Saccharomyces cerevisiae S288C: one gene and its partners. Changing the gene in region 4 together with the main gene of any one other region gives a genetic interaction. Each region holds a gene or a part of one and is shown on either strand. Other genes may lie near its edges. The genes, in order: MRS2, MFM1, MSC6 and MIS1.

What was found.
Region 1: mutations in MIS1 (region 4) and MRS2 together harm fitness more than expected from each alone (negative genetic interaction), as found in Saccharomyces cerevisiae (2 studies listed by BioGRID).
Region 2: mutations in MIS1 (region 4) and MFM1 together harm fitness more than expected from each alone (negative genetic interaction), as found in Saccharomyces cerevisiae (2 studies listed by BioGRID).
Region 3: mutations in MIS1 (region 4) and MSC6 together harm fitness more than expected from each alone (negative genetic interaction), as found in Saccharomyces cerevisiae (2 studies listed by BioGRID).

What each region holds. Positions count from the first base shown.
Region 1 is NC_001147.6:943,068-946,573, reverse strand, and holds MRS2 (Mrs2p), read right to left. Parts: upstream 1,979-3,506; coding exon 566-1,978; downstream 1-565. Other genes in the region: ALA1 (alanine--tRNA ligase), read left to right, coding at 1-341; VMA4 (H(+)-transporting V1 sector ATPase subunit E), read right to left, coding at 2,217-2,918; DNA-directed DNA polymerase gamma MIP1, read left to right, coding at 3,189-3,506. UniProt on the Saccharomyces cerevisiae protein: High-conductance magnesium-selective channel that mediates the influx of magnesium into the mitochondrial matrix.
Region 2 is NC_001148.4:432,959-436,295, forward strand, and holds MFM1 (Mfm1p), read left to right. Parts: upstream 1-1,564; coding exon 1,565-2,806; downstream 2,807-3,337. Other genes in the region: aldehyde dehydrogenase (NADP(+)) ALD6, read left to right, coding at 1-1,132. UniProt on the Saccharomyces cerevisiae protein: Mitochondrial inner membrane magnesium transporter required for mitochondrial magnesium homeostasis. Modulates the conductance of the MRS2 channel.
Region 3 is NC_001147.6:1,000,597-1,004,942, forward strand, and holds MSC6 (Msc6p), read right to left. Parts: upstream 2,630-4,346; coding exon 551-2,629; downstream 1-550. Other genes in the region: SOG2 (Sog2p), read right to left, coding at 1-232. UniProt on the Saccharomyces cerevisiae protein: May be involved in the control of meiotic sister-chromatid recombination.
Region 4 is NC_001134.8:409,185-414,506, reverse strand, and holds MIS1 (trifunctional formate-tetrahydrofolate ligase/methenyltetrahydrofolate cyclohydrolase/methylenetetrahydrofolate dehydrogenase MIS1), read right to left. Parts: upstream 3,454-5,322; coding exon 526-3,453; downstream 1-525. Other genes in the region: 60S ribosomal protein eL19 RPL19A, read left to right, coding at 1-321; TEC1 (Tec1p), read right to left, coding at 3,878-5,322. UniProt on the Saccharomyces cerevisiae protein: Mitochondrial isozyme of C-1-tetrahydrofolate synthase.

The DNA of each region.
Region 1 (3,506 bases), on a different chromosome or scaffold from region 4:
CTCCATACCTAGTTAAATTCATTGATATTTCTCCAAATGCTAAAGCTATCACTGAAGCGATCAACTACATGAAATCCAATGATTCTGTCAAAGACAAGTCAATCTATTTATTGGCAGGTAATGACCCTGAAGGTCGTGTTGCTCACGGTTGTTACATCTCCAATGCTGCTTTAGCCAAGGGTATTGATGGTTCTGCGCTTGCCAAAAAGGTGTCCAGTATCATCGGCGGTAAGGCTGGTGGTAAAGGTAATGTTTTCCAAGGTATGGGTGATAAACCAGCCGCTATAAAGGATGCAGTTGATGATTTGGAAAGTTTGTTCAAGGAGAAGCTTTCCATTTAAGAAGTTAAAATAAAACGAAAAATAATGCATAGGAGTTCTTTTTGTTTATTTTGCTCTTAATAAAAAAGTGTCATTGTATAATTAGTCTTAGTTTAATTATTTATGTTTTTACAAGGACAAAAGATTTGCTGTTAAAAAGAGTTTTAAATACCCTTTTTTCTTACATATGTATATATACAGGTTTATGCTAATAATATTGTATAGTTTATCATGATAATCGCCTTTCAATTTTTCTTGTCTTCTATCAACCATTTCCAAATCATATCTCTGTTCTGCTTGTTCTTAATATCATTCTCCATGTTAAATTTCTTCACCTTTGAAAAACCTTTATTAATCTTATTATTCGACAGGTTAGCCTTATTAGTGTAGCTGCTGCCATAAAGTAGCACTCCCAACCGCTGCTTGGTTGATTTCCACCACTTCCGCCTTCGCTTTAGTTTATTTGTCAGGGCAATAGACGCTGATGTTTTAGGATACACACTGGAGTTTGCGGGTGAGTTTGGATACATGGTCATCTTTGTCACGGATCTTAAAGAATTAAAATTTTTCTTGGTGATATAAAGGGCAGAAACAATAGAAAATACCGCCACTGAAGTAAACCCCCATTCACTCTCCTCGATGAAATTCTTTAAATTCATACCATAGAATGCCGGCAGAACAGATGCTACTGTGAATCCCAACGTGTAGATGGTAACTTTCAACTCCAACAACATTAAGGAATTTCTATTTGCGTCCAATATGATGTTGACAATTTCTTCAGTAGATTTGATATCCTGAATCAAAGATTCTGATTGCTGAACGTATTCATCACATTGGGTGTAGTACGTCTCTATAAGCATTTCCAAGTCCGAAAAATTGTCCTTAGGAGACTTCTTAACTGTCAAGTACATGTTTGCTAAATCATCGTCGTTTTCTAATAGTTCATCTAATAGATCTCTAATCAATAAAGTTTTTTGGTAAAAAAGCGTAAGATCTTTGGACTTAATTAAAAGATGCCGCAGTTTAAGTCTATTGACCTCGTTTTCCAGATCATTTAAGATTTGAATACAGATTTGTGAGTGAAGCTTGAAATCTGTTTCCAGTGCGCTCATTACGTTGATGAAAATACTCTCGAGGGCTCTATGCTCGTAAAATTGAGAGTTATTCTTGGTGGAGGACAACTTAGACTCCAAGTCATACATAAGTACACTCAGTTTGGCAGCGGCGGAAGGGTTTGTTGTATCGAAGACGTAGACCTTATCTCGTTCGATAAGAGCTTTGATATGCAATAAGTTGATGACAATACAGTTTGGCTTACACATGATGGTTGGAATAATATCAATAGAGGAGTTATCTATTTTCCTCAGGTCTCTGGGGAAAAGGGAATGTTCAGTTAAAAAGGACCATTTAGGAAACTTCTCGGACATTGAGATAATATTTCCCTTAGAATTGAATACCGTACACGAAATGAACAGTGAATCAGAGGCAGAAATGGGCTTCAACGATAGTAACTGTTTCCGCAATATGGTGCTGTTGGTGTTTGCAGCAGTGGATGTGTCAGCATACTTTCTAAGAAATGGCGTGTTTGGTCTTCCAAAAGTTATTCTCGACAAAGGTTGGAAACAAGATATAGAACGTACCAGGAGACGCCGATTCATGAGATGCTTGATTGAAAATCACTTTCACTACGATTGCGTATACCGTTACTGTTAGCCTTGGTGCGATCTTGAGCCCTATTGTTCTATCATAATGCTGCAAAAAAAAAAAAAAAAAAAAAAAAGAAGAAAAAAAAAAAGAGACAAAAGACTGGACCACCACAGAGGAAAGAACAACATACAAAAAAAAATCTGTTAGGAGTGTATATGTAAGTATGTAGGTATACAAGCTGCTGGTCGATCAATCAAAGAACTTTCTTGTCTTGGAAGGACCATACAATTCCAATCTGATGGCGGGCAATGCCTCTTCACTTAACAATTTCAATCTTTCCTCCAAAGTGTTGTTAATTTCAATCTTGTCTGATGCATTGGAGACCACAACACCGCCGGAAACAAGGTCTTTGTTCAAGTAATCATTGGAGATAACAATCTCTTCCAATGGTGCGCGCTGGGCCTTTTCCCCATACTCACGCATAATGTCGTCCTTCATCGACTCGATTAAATCGACGTCTCTTTCAAGAGCCTTGACAATCGCCTTAGGTTCCAACAACTTCAAAAGTGCCTCCACGATCAATGATTGCAAAATGGGCTTGTACTCGTCCCGGTTGTTGGCAATTCCTGACAACTTTTCCTTGGTTTCCTCGAATATCCCGTCTAGCGACTGTTCACGAGCAGAAAGAACCTTCAACCTCATTTTGTTTGCTATCGTTGACTTAGTAATCTGTTGCGAAAGCATGGCCTTCTTCAACTTGCTCTTGAAGTTGCCGTCAATGTTGTTGGTTTCATTTCTTACGATGTTGGTCTTCTCGATTTCGTACTCTTGGTCAGCCTTCAATTGGATTTCCTTCGCTTTTTCTTCAGCTTCCTTTCTGATGAAAGCTTGCATCTTGTTCAATTCATCGTTCACTTGGTTTGGTGTCAAAGCAGTAATAGCGGAGGACATGCTGTATCGGATGGTGCGTGGCCTGTTCTGTGCCTCTTTTGTAAAACAGTTACAAACAACTTTTCTTGCAACTGCTATTGTTCTTTGCTGATATATAGCGTGAGTTCTTATCGAAATGGCCGCTTTCGCCCCTCTCCGTGGCGGGTGACCTCGGGCGCACTTTTAGCCGATACTCAGTAAACAACAATAGGTATGGACTACGAAAGAACGGTTCTAAAGAAGAGGTCGAGATGGGGATTATATGTAGTTGTTGAGCAACGAGGGACAAGTATGACGAAATTGATGGTTAGATCTGAATGCATGCTGCGAATGGTGCGGCGGCGGCCGCTGCGTGTGCAGTTTTGTGCTCGATGGTTCTCCACAAAGAAGAATACCGCAGAAGCACCCAGGATTAATCCTGTGGGGATACAGTATTTAGGTGAGTCTTTGCAAAGACAGGTATTTGGTAGTTGCGGTGGTAAAGATGAGGTGGAGCAAAGCGACAAACTTATGGAGTTATCGAAAAAGTCGCTAAAGGACCATGGGTTGTGGGGGAAGAAGACGCTCATCACGGATCCAATATCGTTTCCTCTGCCGCCACTACAAGGC
Region 2 (3,337 bases), on a different chromosome or scaffold from region 4:
GGATGTTACCATTGCAATCAACTGTCTAAGAGATGCTGCTGCCTATGCCGACAAAGTCAACGGTAGAACAATCAACACCGGTGACGGCTACATGAACTTCACCACCTTAGAGCCAATCGGTGTCTGTGGTCAAATTATTCCATGGAACTTTCCAATAATGATGTTGGCTTGGAAGATCGCCCCAGCATTGGCCATGGGTAACGTCTGTATCTTGAAACCCGCTGCTGTCACACCTTTAAATGCCCTATACTTTGCTTCTTTATGTAAGAAGGTTGGTATTCCAGCTGGTGTCGTCAACATCGTTCCAGGTCCTGGTAGAACTGTTGGTGCTGCTTTGACCAACGACCCAAGAATCAGAAAGCTGGCTTTTACCGGTTCTACAGAAGTCGGTAAGAGTGTTGCTGTCGACTCTTCTGAATCTAACTTGAAGAAAATCACTTTGGAACTAGGTGGTAAGTCCGCCCATTTGGTCTTTGACGATGCTAACATTAAGAAGACTTTACCAAATCTAGTAAACGGTATTTTCAAGAACGCTGGTCAAATTTGTTCCTCTGGTTCTAGAATTTACGTTCAAGAAGGTATTTACGACGAACTATTGGCTGCTTTCAAGGCTTACTTGGAAACCGAAATCAAAGTTGGTAATCCATTTGACAAGGCTAACTTCCAAGGTGCTATCACTAACCGTCAACAATTCGACACAATTATGAACTACATCGATATCGGTAAGAAAGAAGGCGCCAAGATCTTAACTGGTGGCGAAAAAGTTGGTGACAAGGGTTACTTCATCAGACCAACCGTTTTCTACGATGTTAATGAAGACATGAGAATTGTTAAGGAAGAAATTTTTGGACCAGTTGTCACTGTCGCAAAGTTCAAGACTTTAGAAGAAGGTGTCGAAATGGCTAACAGCTCTGAATTCGGTCTAGGTTCTGGTATCGAAACAGAATCTTTGAGCACAGGTTTGAAGGTGGCCAAGATGTTGAAGGCCGGTACCGTCTGGATCAACACATACAACGATTTTGACTCCAGAGTTCCATTCGGTGGTGTTAAGCAATCTGGTTACGGTAGAGAAATGGGTGAAGAAGTCTACCATGCATACACTGAAGTAAAAGCTGTCAGAATTAAGTTGTAATGTACCAACCTGCATTTCTTTCCGTCATATACACAAAATACTTTCATATAAACTTACTTGGTCTTACGTCATAAATAAATATGTATACATATAAATTAAAAAATTTGGTTTTATATTTTTACAAAAAGAATCGTTTACTTCATTTCTCCCTTTTAAGCGATACAATCCATGAAAAAAGAGAAAAAGAGAGAACAGGCTTGTGCCTTCTTTAAAACATCCCACACAAAATCATATTGAATTGAATTTTACATCTTAAGCTAGTGTACAACAACTGCTATATCCAAAGAAAACTAACGTGGACCGCTTTTAGAGTTGAGAAAAAGGTTTGAAAAAAATAGCAATACAAAGACTTGTTTCATATATAAAATACAGGGAGCACATTGAGCTAATATAACATAAACACTGCGAACCAATTCCAATCAAAAGGTACACATGAGAGCATTCCCCCGAGTACTGCCATTTCGCCATCAGAGATCATATAATAACATCCTTCTTCGAACAGTAAGGCTTTTTGGTTCATCACTTTCTTCTTTTGATTTCTCTAGGCAAATGCCTAAGGTGGACCCTGACAATACCGCTGCAATGCTACTACAGAAAAACTTGATCCAAAGAAACAACATGCTCTATGGGTATGGATCAGGGACAATACGATGTACTTTGCTAGACTCAACTGGACGAGCCAAATCACCATTAGTAGAGATAAAACGTGAGGATCTAGTATCAAAACATGGCTTGTTGCCCAGAGATCTACGTAAAATTGAAAAATCAAGGAAGAATGACTTAGTCCCTAGTTTGCTCGTGCGAGAAAATTCCATACTAATCAGTTTACTTACTGTGAAAGCCCTAATTAAGCCTGATATGGTTATTATCTTCGATTCAGCCGGCAGTGGAATAACTTTAAACTCAGAAGCTCACAAGGATTTTATTAACGATATGAAATTGAGACTAAAAAATCAAGAAACAAGCGAGCTAAATAGCGATCCACTTCCTTATGAATTCAGAGCTTTAGAAACGATCTTCATTTCGGCATTATCTAACCTTACCAGTGAAATGAAGGTGTTGCTAACCATATGCAAGGGGGTGCTTCAAGATCTAGAATTTAGTATAACAAGAGATAAATTAAGGTTCTTACTGGGTCAAAACAAAAAATTGAGCAGCTTCAATAAAAAGGCTGTTCTAGTTAAAGATATGCTGGATGACTTGCTAGAGCAAGACGATATGCTTTGTGATATGTACTTAACCGACAAAAAGGCTGGAAAAATTAGAGTTCAAGATGATCATACTGAAATTGAAATGCTTCTGGAAACATATCATAACTATGTCGATGAAATAGTTCAGAAAAGCGAAAGCGCCATATCTGACGTGAAAACCACAGAAGAAATCATCAATATAATCCTAGATTCTAACAGAAACGAATTAATGCTGTTAGGGATAAGATACGCCATAGGAATGCTTTCGTTGGGAGGCGCTCTATTCCTGGGTTCTATCTATGGTATGAATCTGGAAAGTTTCATAGAAGAAAGTAATTATGCGTATTTAACTGTCACCATTTTGGGGTTAATATCTACTGTTTGGCTCTATGCGAAGGGAATCAGACATTTGCATAAATTACAACGTATGACATTATTGAGTAAAATAAAAACAGATTCCGTTCACGAACTGTTGAAGAAATAGTTATCACGAAGAGTCAATCAATCTTTTTAATACGCATTCAAATGAATAAGAACAACTTTCACTTTTTTAAGTATATAAAAAGCCGTACAGGCGAACGTATATAATTAAAATTCTTTGGAAAAAAAGAAAGCTCGCACTCAGGATCGAACTAAGGACCAACAGATTTGCAATCTGCTGCGCTACCACTGCGCCATACGAGCTTTTGTTGTATAGTTTTAAGGCAATAGAATAATAACACTTATCCACGCAACAGTAATGTGGTTAAATAATAACTTCCTGTCAGGACTTGTGGTTGATTGGTGAAAATCAAATATCATGCTGACTACTAGAAATATTAGCAGTATATTATCATATACGGTGTAAGAAGATGAGATAAGGATTGAGAAACAGTCATCAAGTTTAATGAAAGTGAAATGAAAGGATTGATTATATAATAGGATAATGAATCACAAAGTATAAAAAGAAGGAAGAAAAAATGATATCATTGAGAAATTGATGAATTTTGAGATAATTGTTGAGATTTAATTGTTG
Region 3 (4,346 bases), on a different chromosome or scaffold from region 4:
AGTGATTTTTCCTTAAAGACAGTCTTTCAACATTTTGGATATATCCCACATCTTCATCTGATATGGACTTGATATTAAGAGCTATTAATTTTAGTGTAGTACCACTAGAGCTGGATTTCTCTTGTGTTGCCAACTCAGATATTATAGTGTTGCTTGAATTAGTGGATGTTTTGTCAGCAGGCAAATGTTCCTCCTTCGGATCCAACGTCCTCTTTGAAGATGTCGCTACCATACGTTACGGATACTTATAGACTTAACTCCCCCCAATAAGTTCAGGTGAAAAGTAGCATGGAGTTTTGGCATTAACTTTATTTGCCCACTTATATTTAGAGATCTTGAAATACTTTTTGTTACCCGACTTGTAGCTTCATTTTTTCATTTTTTTTTTTTTTTTTTATTTTTATTTTGTATTGTTCTTTGAAAGAATCATGCATGGAAGCAATAACTATTATACGGAAGTTATATACAAGAAATCATTATATAGTTACAGCATCATATGTGCAGAAAATTGGTTCTGAGCTTTTCTTATTGTCTTCTTATGACAAGTGTATTAAGTCAACTTTTCTGGAACAGTAATTCCATCACATTCTTTTAAAATTTGAATATCCTTAGGGTTGGGACGAAAACCCTCATTAGTGCCTAAATCTCGCATAAACTGGTTAATAAAAGCAACCTCTTTGTCAGATAACTGCTGAGTATTGCGTGCAAATGTGGCCAAGTTGAATAGAATTTTCGAAACGGCCAAGTTCGACACCCTGATACTTGAATCCTTAGCTAGATTGTAGTACTTTTCGATGTAGGGAACGTACTCGCTATGTTTACTCTTGTAAAGTTTATCACAGAACCCCAATAATAAAGCATTTAGAGGCGTATTATCCACGTTTCTCTTTCTAGTCTTTTGATATGAGAGAAAATCAGAAAACAAATTCTTTGCCTCGGCCACTGTGCCGTCAGGCTTATTAAACTCTGCGGAAATAAAGTCTGCATAATTCCTAGCATTTAAGTGAGTTCCCAATTGTTTGTAAAGTTGACGAATCGGCTCGACAGTGGGGCACACTGAAATAAAGGCTTTCGTAATCTTTTCAACCTTTTCATAATCGGTGGGATTAATGGAAACACTTTGCAATAGATCGAATTGTGGGCGTGTATCTTCTGCCTGAAATTTATAATTAGCGTACATTTTAATGCTTAGAGTATCCAAAGTAGGGGGTAACACACCATCTGATGGATAATGGTTATAGTAAAATGTGTTGAATTGTTCTTCGCTCACTTTTTCATCATCTAACATTAGCAATAAAACTTTATTGAACAACTTCTTGGTTTTAACAGTCTCTGCTAACTCCCCTTTGACTTGGTCATACTTTAGAGGCGAAGTTTGACATAAGGCCAGGAGAAATGCTTCCTTCACGATGGGATCTTTCTTGAACTTTTTAGGAAGTTCTTCTTCCCAAAATTCCTTTAAATGGTTGAAATTTCCAGAATCAGTTAGTGCGTTAACTAGCGTCGCATAAGATGTGTTTTTAATATTATCTCCTGGTTTGATAACACTGTTCCAGACTGCTAGAATTCTGTCCAACTTCTCTTTACTCGATTTAGCTCGTAAGTGCGACACAGCTCTTAAAAGACAATCTTTCAGCGACGTACTATTTGGGAAAACCTTGCTATACTGGTTATAAATAGTAACAACTTGGTCGGGTTTATCCAAATCAATAAACTTGTCCATGAACTTGCTTATGATCTCTACATTTTTCTCACCTTCAAGTTTATTGTATTGGCCATAAAGATCCCTTAAATCTATCCATCTAGGAGCATTTTCAATTTGACTTAAGAAATGATCACTATCCTGTACTGTGTATTGATAGTACAAAGTGTTTAGATTTTTGATAATCACGTCTCTTCTTTCAAGAGAGCTAAATTCTGTACTTAACATTCTTCTAATCATGTTAAAAGGTAAAACCTGGCCCATTTTACGATCGATCTGTAAAATCTTATACAGAATATTGATATCCACAGTATTCTCTGGTAAAGATAAGTAAGCAATGGTGGTAATTGCAATATTTTGCATATGTGCACGAGAAGAACTATTTTGAAGTAAGATCACTGGGTTTTCGGAAATGGTTTCCAAGTACTTCACCCATAAGGCAATAACGTCCTGTGGTGATTGATTATATAGAAGGTACTTTAAAACAATCGTGAAATGTTGTGAGCGTGCCAATTTGTATTGGCACAATGTGTTTAATACTTGATAAGGATCTAGCGTCATATTTTTGCTTCTGTAACTTAATTCCTGTAGGAGATCCGAAGAAAAATTCGCTAACAAGTGTGATCTTTCCATAGGTGAAGGGTTCCTTAATTTCTGTTTCAACGATTCAATCTTATCTTTAAAGTCATTAAAAACTTCATTGATATCTGAATCTGGAGCTTTCAACTCGTTCTTCAAATCAGCAGCCAAATTTTGTACCCTTTCAAACGGTGAGACGTGCTTTTCTCTATTTCCTGAATGTCCATCATCTGTTTCTTGTAAGTGAACGCTGCTTTGTTGGTATATCGATGTTGAAGAGGTTAGACATCTTCGTGAAATAATCACCTTTGAACAATCAAAGGCCCTTAAAGCATTATGGGAAAGCATCTGTATCCCAGTGGAAGGCTCTGATATTATTTTGTGCAGAGCCAACTTAAGCAAACATATAGACAGTACGTCCTTAGTTAGACATGTGTAGCAATTGAACGATTCCACAGGCGGTATGTATATCGTATATGATGATATTACATTTTACTTACCCCGCTTTTTCCCTCTTATAATCGATTAATTACTTAGTCGACGAGCAACCTTTTATGGCATATTTGAAAGGTAATACAATGTTCCAACTTCGTTTTTTATTCACAGATCAATTAACGTATTGGCACACCTGATATTTCCTCAATAGTAAGTAGTTTTGGTGATGTAACTTTGACACTACCTTCGACCGAATATTCACTTATAAAACTTATATATTACTTGCTTTTACTTCTAACTTGTCTGGAGAGTTCAATCTTTGTTTTCAGCTCTATATACCGGTTTTCTGCATCGGCGGCTAAATGGTATTCTTTTCCGCTTGGCTCTACACAATGTTTATTAAGCTGAGCGTCGGTGTTTCCGATTTGGACCGTTTGACTTTCTTTTTGGACTGGTTTTCTTTTTTAGTACGAGGTGTACGGACAAAAGATACTAACGGACAAAACGCGGTTGCAACTGAAATTTTTTTTTCACTATTTTCGTAGGGCACATTGGTGTAAATATATATATATATACTCAAGGTTCATCTCGTTTTTTTTAATATTCTTGTTCCTTACTCTTGATCATACGTAGAATGTATGTCTTTATCCTGAAAGTAAAGAAAGGATTATACAATGCTGAAATGTTAGTACTAAATATGAGCATACAATCACTTGTTGTTCACTAGTTCAACGAGTTTCATTCATATTCAACTCACGCAAGGGATTATGGAAGAAGAATCCTTTTTATGAAAGGGAAAAAAAACCGAAATACTATGTTAACTGCTTCCAACGCTCTATACTAATGCGCATGAAGATTTTACTTGCGAATCAAACTGATTCGCACGCAATATCTAAGTCTGCTATACCTACCTTACATCTCGCCGTATGTTATGGGTGCAAGGGTGTTTTTTTTTTTTTATATTTTTTTTGTTTGGGGTTTTCGATACTTTGTGAAGGAACGACGCAGAAAAAAACGAAAATCATACGCCCGATGAAATTTTTGATAAGAAAATTTTCTGAAAACCCATGCGATGAGAAGTCAAAAATTTTTCTTCTTCTCCTTTTCTTGTACTTTTATCCCGGCTAGTTCTTTTTCTAAAATTTTCATATTCCAGTCCAATATTTTACTTCATTTTTTTTTTCTGTTCTCGCTTGGCTTGATTTAATTTTTTACGTAGGTTTTTTTTACACGATATTGTTTGTATTATCAGTATTCCCTTCAAGCTCCCCTTTTTTTTATCAATTAAGGTTCTTGGTAATTTCTATTTCTGAAAAACCAAAAACAAAAAGTCATTGATTGACTATTTGACTCAAATTACCAAAATCATAACTTTTCTTTTCAGCATTCCATTATTGAAGGCTTTAAAATAATAGTTTCTTTTTTCCTATTATTTTATTTTTTCCTTTACATTGGAATACATTTTATTTTGAGTTTTAATTTTTTTTATTTTCTATTCCATTGTTTTTTATTTGCTTTGGACTGCCCTTTTCGTAATAATTTCCCTTTTTACCCTATTTTAGTCACTTCTGTGTCAGCAAGCGGGATTATATAAAGAAACGTTAGCAGAAACAATATCAGCAAAATAGAA
Region 4 (5,322 bases):
ACCAGAGAAGCCCGTTTACCATCCCAAGTTGTCTGGATCAGAAGATTACGTGTCTTGAGAAGATTATTGGCTAAGTACCGTGATGCTGGTAAGATTGACAAGCACTTGTACCATGTTTTGTACAAGGAATCTAAGGGTAACGCTTTCAAACACAAGAGAGCCTTGGTTGAACACATCATCCAAGCTAAGGCTGATGCTCAACGTGAAAAGGCTTTGAACGAAGAAGCTGAAGCTAGAAGATTGAAGAACAGAGCTGCTCGTGACAGAAGAGCTCAAAGAGTTGCTGAAAAGAGAGATGCTTTATTGAAGGAAGACGCTTAAATTTTCTTTAATTAATTTATCTTAATATACATACTCAGTTAATAAACAGGTAGCAAAAACTTCGATAATACGTATGTATGCACATATACCTACATAACTAAAACCCATTTTTCTAATATTCTCATCTCAATTGTTTATATAAAGGGTACTCGTGCAGACGGACATCGAGGTCGAATTGATGCCATTAGGAGTCTGCCAAACTATTTAAAATAGACCTTCAATTTCACCGTCGTCGTCGACTTCTACTGCCATGTAACCAGCATATGTCGATAGACCCGGTATGGTTTGAATTTCTGCAGCCAAAGCGTATAAATAACCTGCACCTATTGAAGCTCTCACATCCCTGATGGGGAACGTAAAACCTCTAGGAACACCCTTTAATGATGGATCATGGGATAATGAATATTGTGTCTTAGCAATACAGATGGGAAGATTACCGAAGCCTTGTTTTTTGTAGGTGTCTATCTTTTTTTGGGCTTCTGGTGATACTTCGATTTTTGCCCCACCATACATTTTTTGGACGATGCTGGTAAGCTTGTCCTCGATGGAGCTATTGACGTCGTACAAAAAGTTAAAGTTCTTTGGTTCTTTCGTTGCATCTACCACAGCATGTGCTAATTCTACTGCACCTTTACCACCTTCCATCCAGTGATTAGAAGTAACGGCATGAGATGCGCCAGCATTCAAGGCTGCTTTCTTGATTACCTCAATCTCTGCCTGTGAGTCTGTTTCAAATCTGTTGATTGCTACAACGACTGGTATTCCAAACGTTTTGATGTTTTCAATCTGCTTAACCAAATTACTAACACCCTTGGCAACAAAATCGATGTTTTCCTCTGTGTATTCTTTTGGTAATGATTGTCCGGGCTTAACATTTGGAGCACCTCCATGAGATTTCAAAGCTCTTACGGTTGCGACTAAGACAACTGCATCTGGCACCAATCCAGAGGAACGACATTTGATATCAAAGAATCTTTCACCACCCATGGCAAAATCGAATCCTGCTTCAGTAACTACATAACCAGGTTCATGGATGTTCTTGTCATTTAACGGGTTCTTTTCTGAACCAACAAGCTTCAATGCCATTAAGTCTGCAATTACTGATGATGCGCCGATGGAGATGTTGGCGAAAGGACCAGCGTGAACCATTACGGGGGTCCCTTCCAAAGTTTGCATTAAGTTAGGCTTTATAGCGTCACGTAATAATGCAGTCAGAGCACCGGTACAGCCAATATCTTCTACTGTTACTGGTTTGTTATCATAATCAGCACCAATAACCATGCGTCCAATACGTTCCTTCATCTCGTGTAAGCTTTTAGATAGAGCTAAAATGGCCATTAATTCAGAGGCAACAGTGATATCGAATCCAGTGGTCCTTGTAAAACCCTTCTCCGTAGCGGCTTCGCCAATGGTAATTTGTCTTAACATCCTGTCATTGATGTCGACAACTCTTCTGATAGTGATAGTATCGGGATTTATGTTCAATCTAGCAAATCTTTTGACTTCTTCAGGTGTTAAAGCATCAGGGTCTTCTTTTTCAATATCCAATCTTTTAAGCCTTCTCTGCATGGATGGGGTAAACTTTCTGATGCCTTTTTTTCTTGGAACTAGTCTCTTGTAAAATGTACTATCATTCTTCTGAGTGGCTTCATGGAACATTCTAGTGTCGATAGCTGCTGCAAGAAGATTGTTCGCAGCGCTGATAGCATGAATATCCCCGGTCAAATGTAAATTGAACTCGTCCATAGGAATAACTTGGGCATAACCACCACCAGCAGCACCACCTTTGACACCCAGGGTTGGGCCAAGAGATGGTTGTCTAACGTTCGCGATGGATGGTTTCCCTAAATGAGCGGATAAAGCCTGCACCAACCCCATAGTCGTAGTGGATTTACCTTCACCCAATGGAGTCGGAGTAATACCTGCAACAAGGACGTACTTACCGTTTTCTCTAGATTCTAATCTTTTAAAAATATTTGGAGAAATTTTTGCCTTATAGTGGCCGTATAATTCTAATTCGTGAGAGTGGATTCCCAACTCCTCGGCAACTTGCTTGATATGCTTAGGACTCTGAGCTCTTGATATATCAATATCTGAAGGCACTGGACTTTCTAAGTGTAATGGAAGAGGTTTGATAACTGGAAGCTTTTCAGATTCCACGAATTGCCTTTTAGCAGCTAATAGTACATTGGAAACAAGCATAGCGACAGTCATTGGACCCACTCCACCAGGAACAGGGGTAATATAAGATGTCTTTTCCTTTACAGAATCAAAATCAACATCACCAACTAATTTTTGCCCACTTTTCTTACTGATATCAGGTACGTAGTTGATACCTACATCAATAACCACGGCGCCTTCTTTAATCCAGTCTGATTTAACGTATTGAGGAATACCGCAAGCTGCGATAACTATATCAGCTTGGGAGACCACTTCTGCAATGTTCCTTGTATGACTATGACAGACAGTAACAGTGGCATTCGCATTTTTCAACAACGAAGCAATTGGATTTCCGACGATACTTGATCTGCCTAACACGACGGCGTTCTTACCATCTAACTTAACATGAGCTTCTTCAAGTAATTTCATGCAACCATAAGGAGTACATGGTATGAAGTATGGTTTCCCTCCTTTTTTAGCCAATTCACCAGCATTATATCTGTGGAACCCATCAACGTCCTTTTTAAAGTCCACAGCGTTTGTAATCGTGGTTTCATCCAAGTGACGCGGTAGAGGTAGTTGAATTAGCAACCCATGGATAGAGTCATCATCATTGATGTCACTAATTTTCTTCAAAAGCTCAACTTCAGTGATTTCTGCTGGTAACTTCTCTATGATACAGTCTACATTGCTGTCCTTTGAAGCTTTCAATTTCATCCTCACGTACGTAGATGAGTCTGGTCTGGCCCCGACTTGAATGATTTTCAAGGTAGGCTTGAAATTAGGATGCTTAAGCTTAATGGCTTGTATCTCATCATTGGCTTTTTCTCGAATAGATTGAGCAAGTTTCCTACCAGAAAGAATATGGTATTGAGAAGCATGCACAGTTGGCGAAACTTTTAAGCGGTAAATGCGCCATCTGGCCTGTTGGAACGCCCTCGAGTTACTCAATAAAGATAGTCTCGACAACATTTCCTTTTAGCCTTAAATATCTGACAAATGAACAGACTGAGAGAATCACAGTAATGAAAGTTGTTTTTTGATGTGTATTGGCTGGTTTACTTCTGCAATTCTTGAGGCATCGAGAACCGCTGCAACATTATTTCGGAGGAAAAAGAAAAAAAATCGCTGTCCGTTGAAGTGAAAAAAATTTCAGCATGGCGCTAGAGAACTTTCTTACTCGTTCTGGCGCGTCAGTAAAAAAGAACTCGGGAAACAATAAGAACCATACATGTGCGATAGAAGAGTGTTGCAGGAGTAGCTTTGGTTTTGTTCGAGAACTGGTAATGTTTGACTAATACATAATTGTACCGTGCTCAATCATATCTGTGACGGTTCTTACTACGAAGATACGTATGCGTATTTATGTACGAGATGTATGTATGTATGTAGACATTTAATAAAAGTTCCCATGCGATTGGTTGGATGGCGTAAAGTTCCTTTGATGTGGAGAATGTTCGTAATGCTGGGGTGATGATAATAACAGCTGCGAAAAATAAGATGTTTGGTACTGGGGCAGACCTTGAATATAATTGGCATTGTAAGCATCTTCAGCAGGTCTTGGATACATGGGCCTTCCTCGTACTTTGGAGAGTGAGTAGGGCATTCCATTATTCTTGTAGTATGGCACTGGTCTGCTTTGGAGTTGTGTGACTGTGGCTGATCTTGGGACTACTTCTTCCTCCGATTCGTACTCTGAACCGGAATTGGAATTGGAACTGAACTCAGGATTACTTTCATGTTCTTGTATGCGGGAAATTCTTTGGTATTTGTTGATTATCTTTCTCTGCTCTATTTCGATTTTTTTTGCACTCTCCAGGATTGCCTTCTTGTTGGAAAAGCTAGCCTTATTGGGGCGATCTCCCTGGTGGAGTTCCGTGGGGGAAAGTTGTTCAAGAGGCCTCTTTGACGGAACGCACTTGTAGCCGTCTATGTTTTCATAAATGTGCTTAGCGTAAATGAGGGGGGTTTTGGCTTGAGATGCAGCATTAGTTTTTATGAAATTTTCAATTTTTTTCTCGTTGGAAGCAGTGATTGGCGTAAGCAGTTTTGAATGTACTGACAATCCACTGCTATTATTACTTACATAGAGGTTTTTAGGGGTTAAACTTCCAGAATCACTGACTGAAGGTAGAGAGTCGATAATTTCTTCAAATATGTCATAAAACAGGTTTGAGTTTTCAGTAGTTTGTTCAGCGCCATGTTCGATAAGGTGTAGAAGCTCCTTCTCCTTTGATGATAGGGTCAGCGAGTCCTTGATTTTGTTTTGTATGGTCTTCTTCCAGACTTGAATATGGGAAGAAATTTGCTTTTTGGTTCTGAACTCGTTGGTTTTGTGCTTGATATATAATGAAATCAGCTCGTTTCTTCCAAAATTGGCATTTCTTATTTTTATTTTTGTGGTCCCATTTTTCATTATCAGTCTAAGTGCCTCAAGGAATGCCTCTTCTACCTTTTCTGACCACTTATCACAACCGATAGTCCAAGATTCCGTTGTTGACGACGTTTCGCTACTTTGTCCGGGAAAGTAGTTGCTCACAGATATATTTGGTACTTCATTCTTCCTCTGCTTGTCAGTGAACGTAGCCTTTGCTGATGGAGATTTCAAATCGTCCGATTTAGCACCCAGTCCAGTATTTACCAGTTCGAATTGAGGATGCGTGTCTATGAGATTGATGTTATCCTCCGCTTCATTTTTCACACAAGCGGCGGTTGAAACTACGGCTTCTGGAAACATATCATCCAAGGCCGACTGTGAATACGAATCTTTTTGTATATATACGTCAAAAATTCTACCAGTATATGATTCTATATTTCTAGAATTATCCTTGCCAAAGTCGT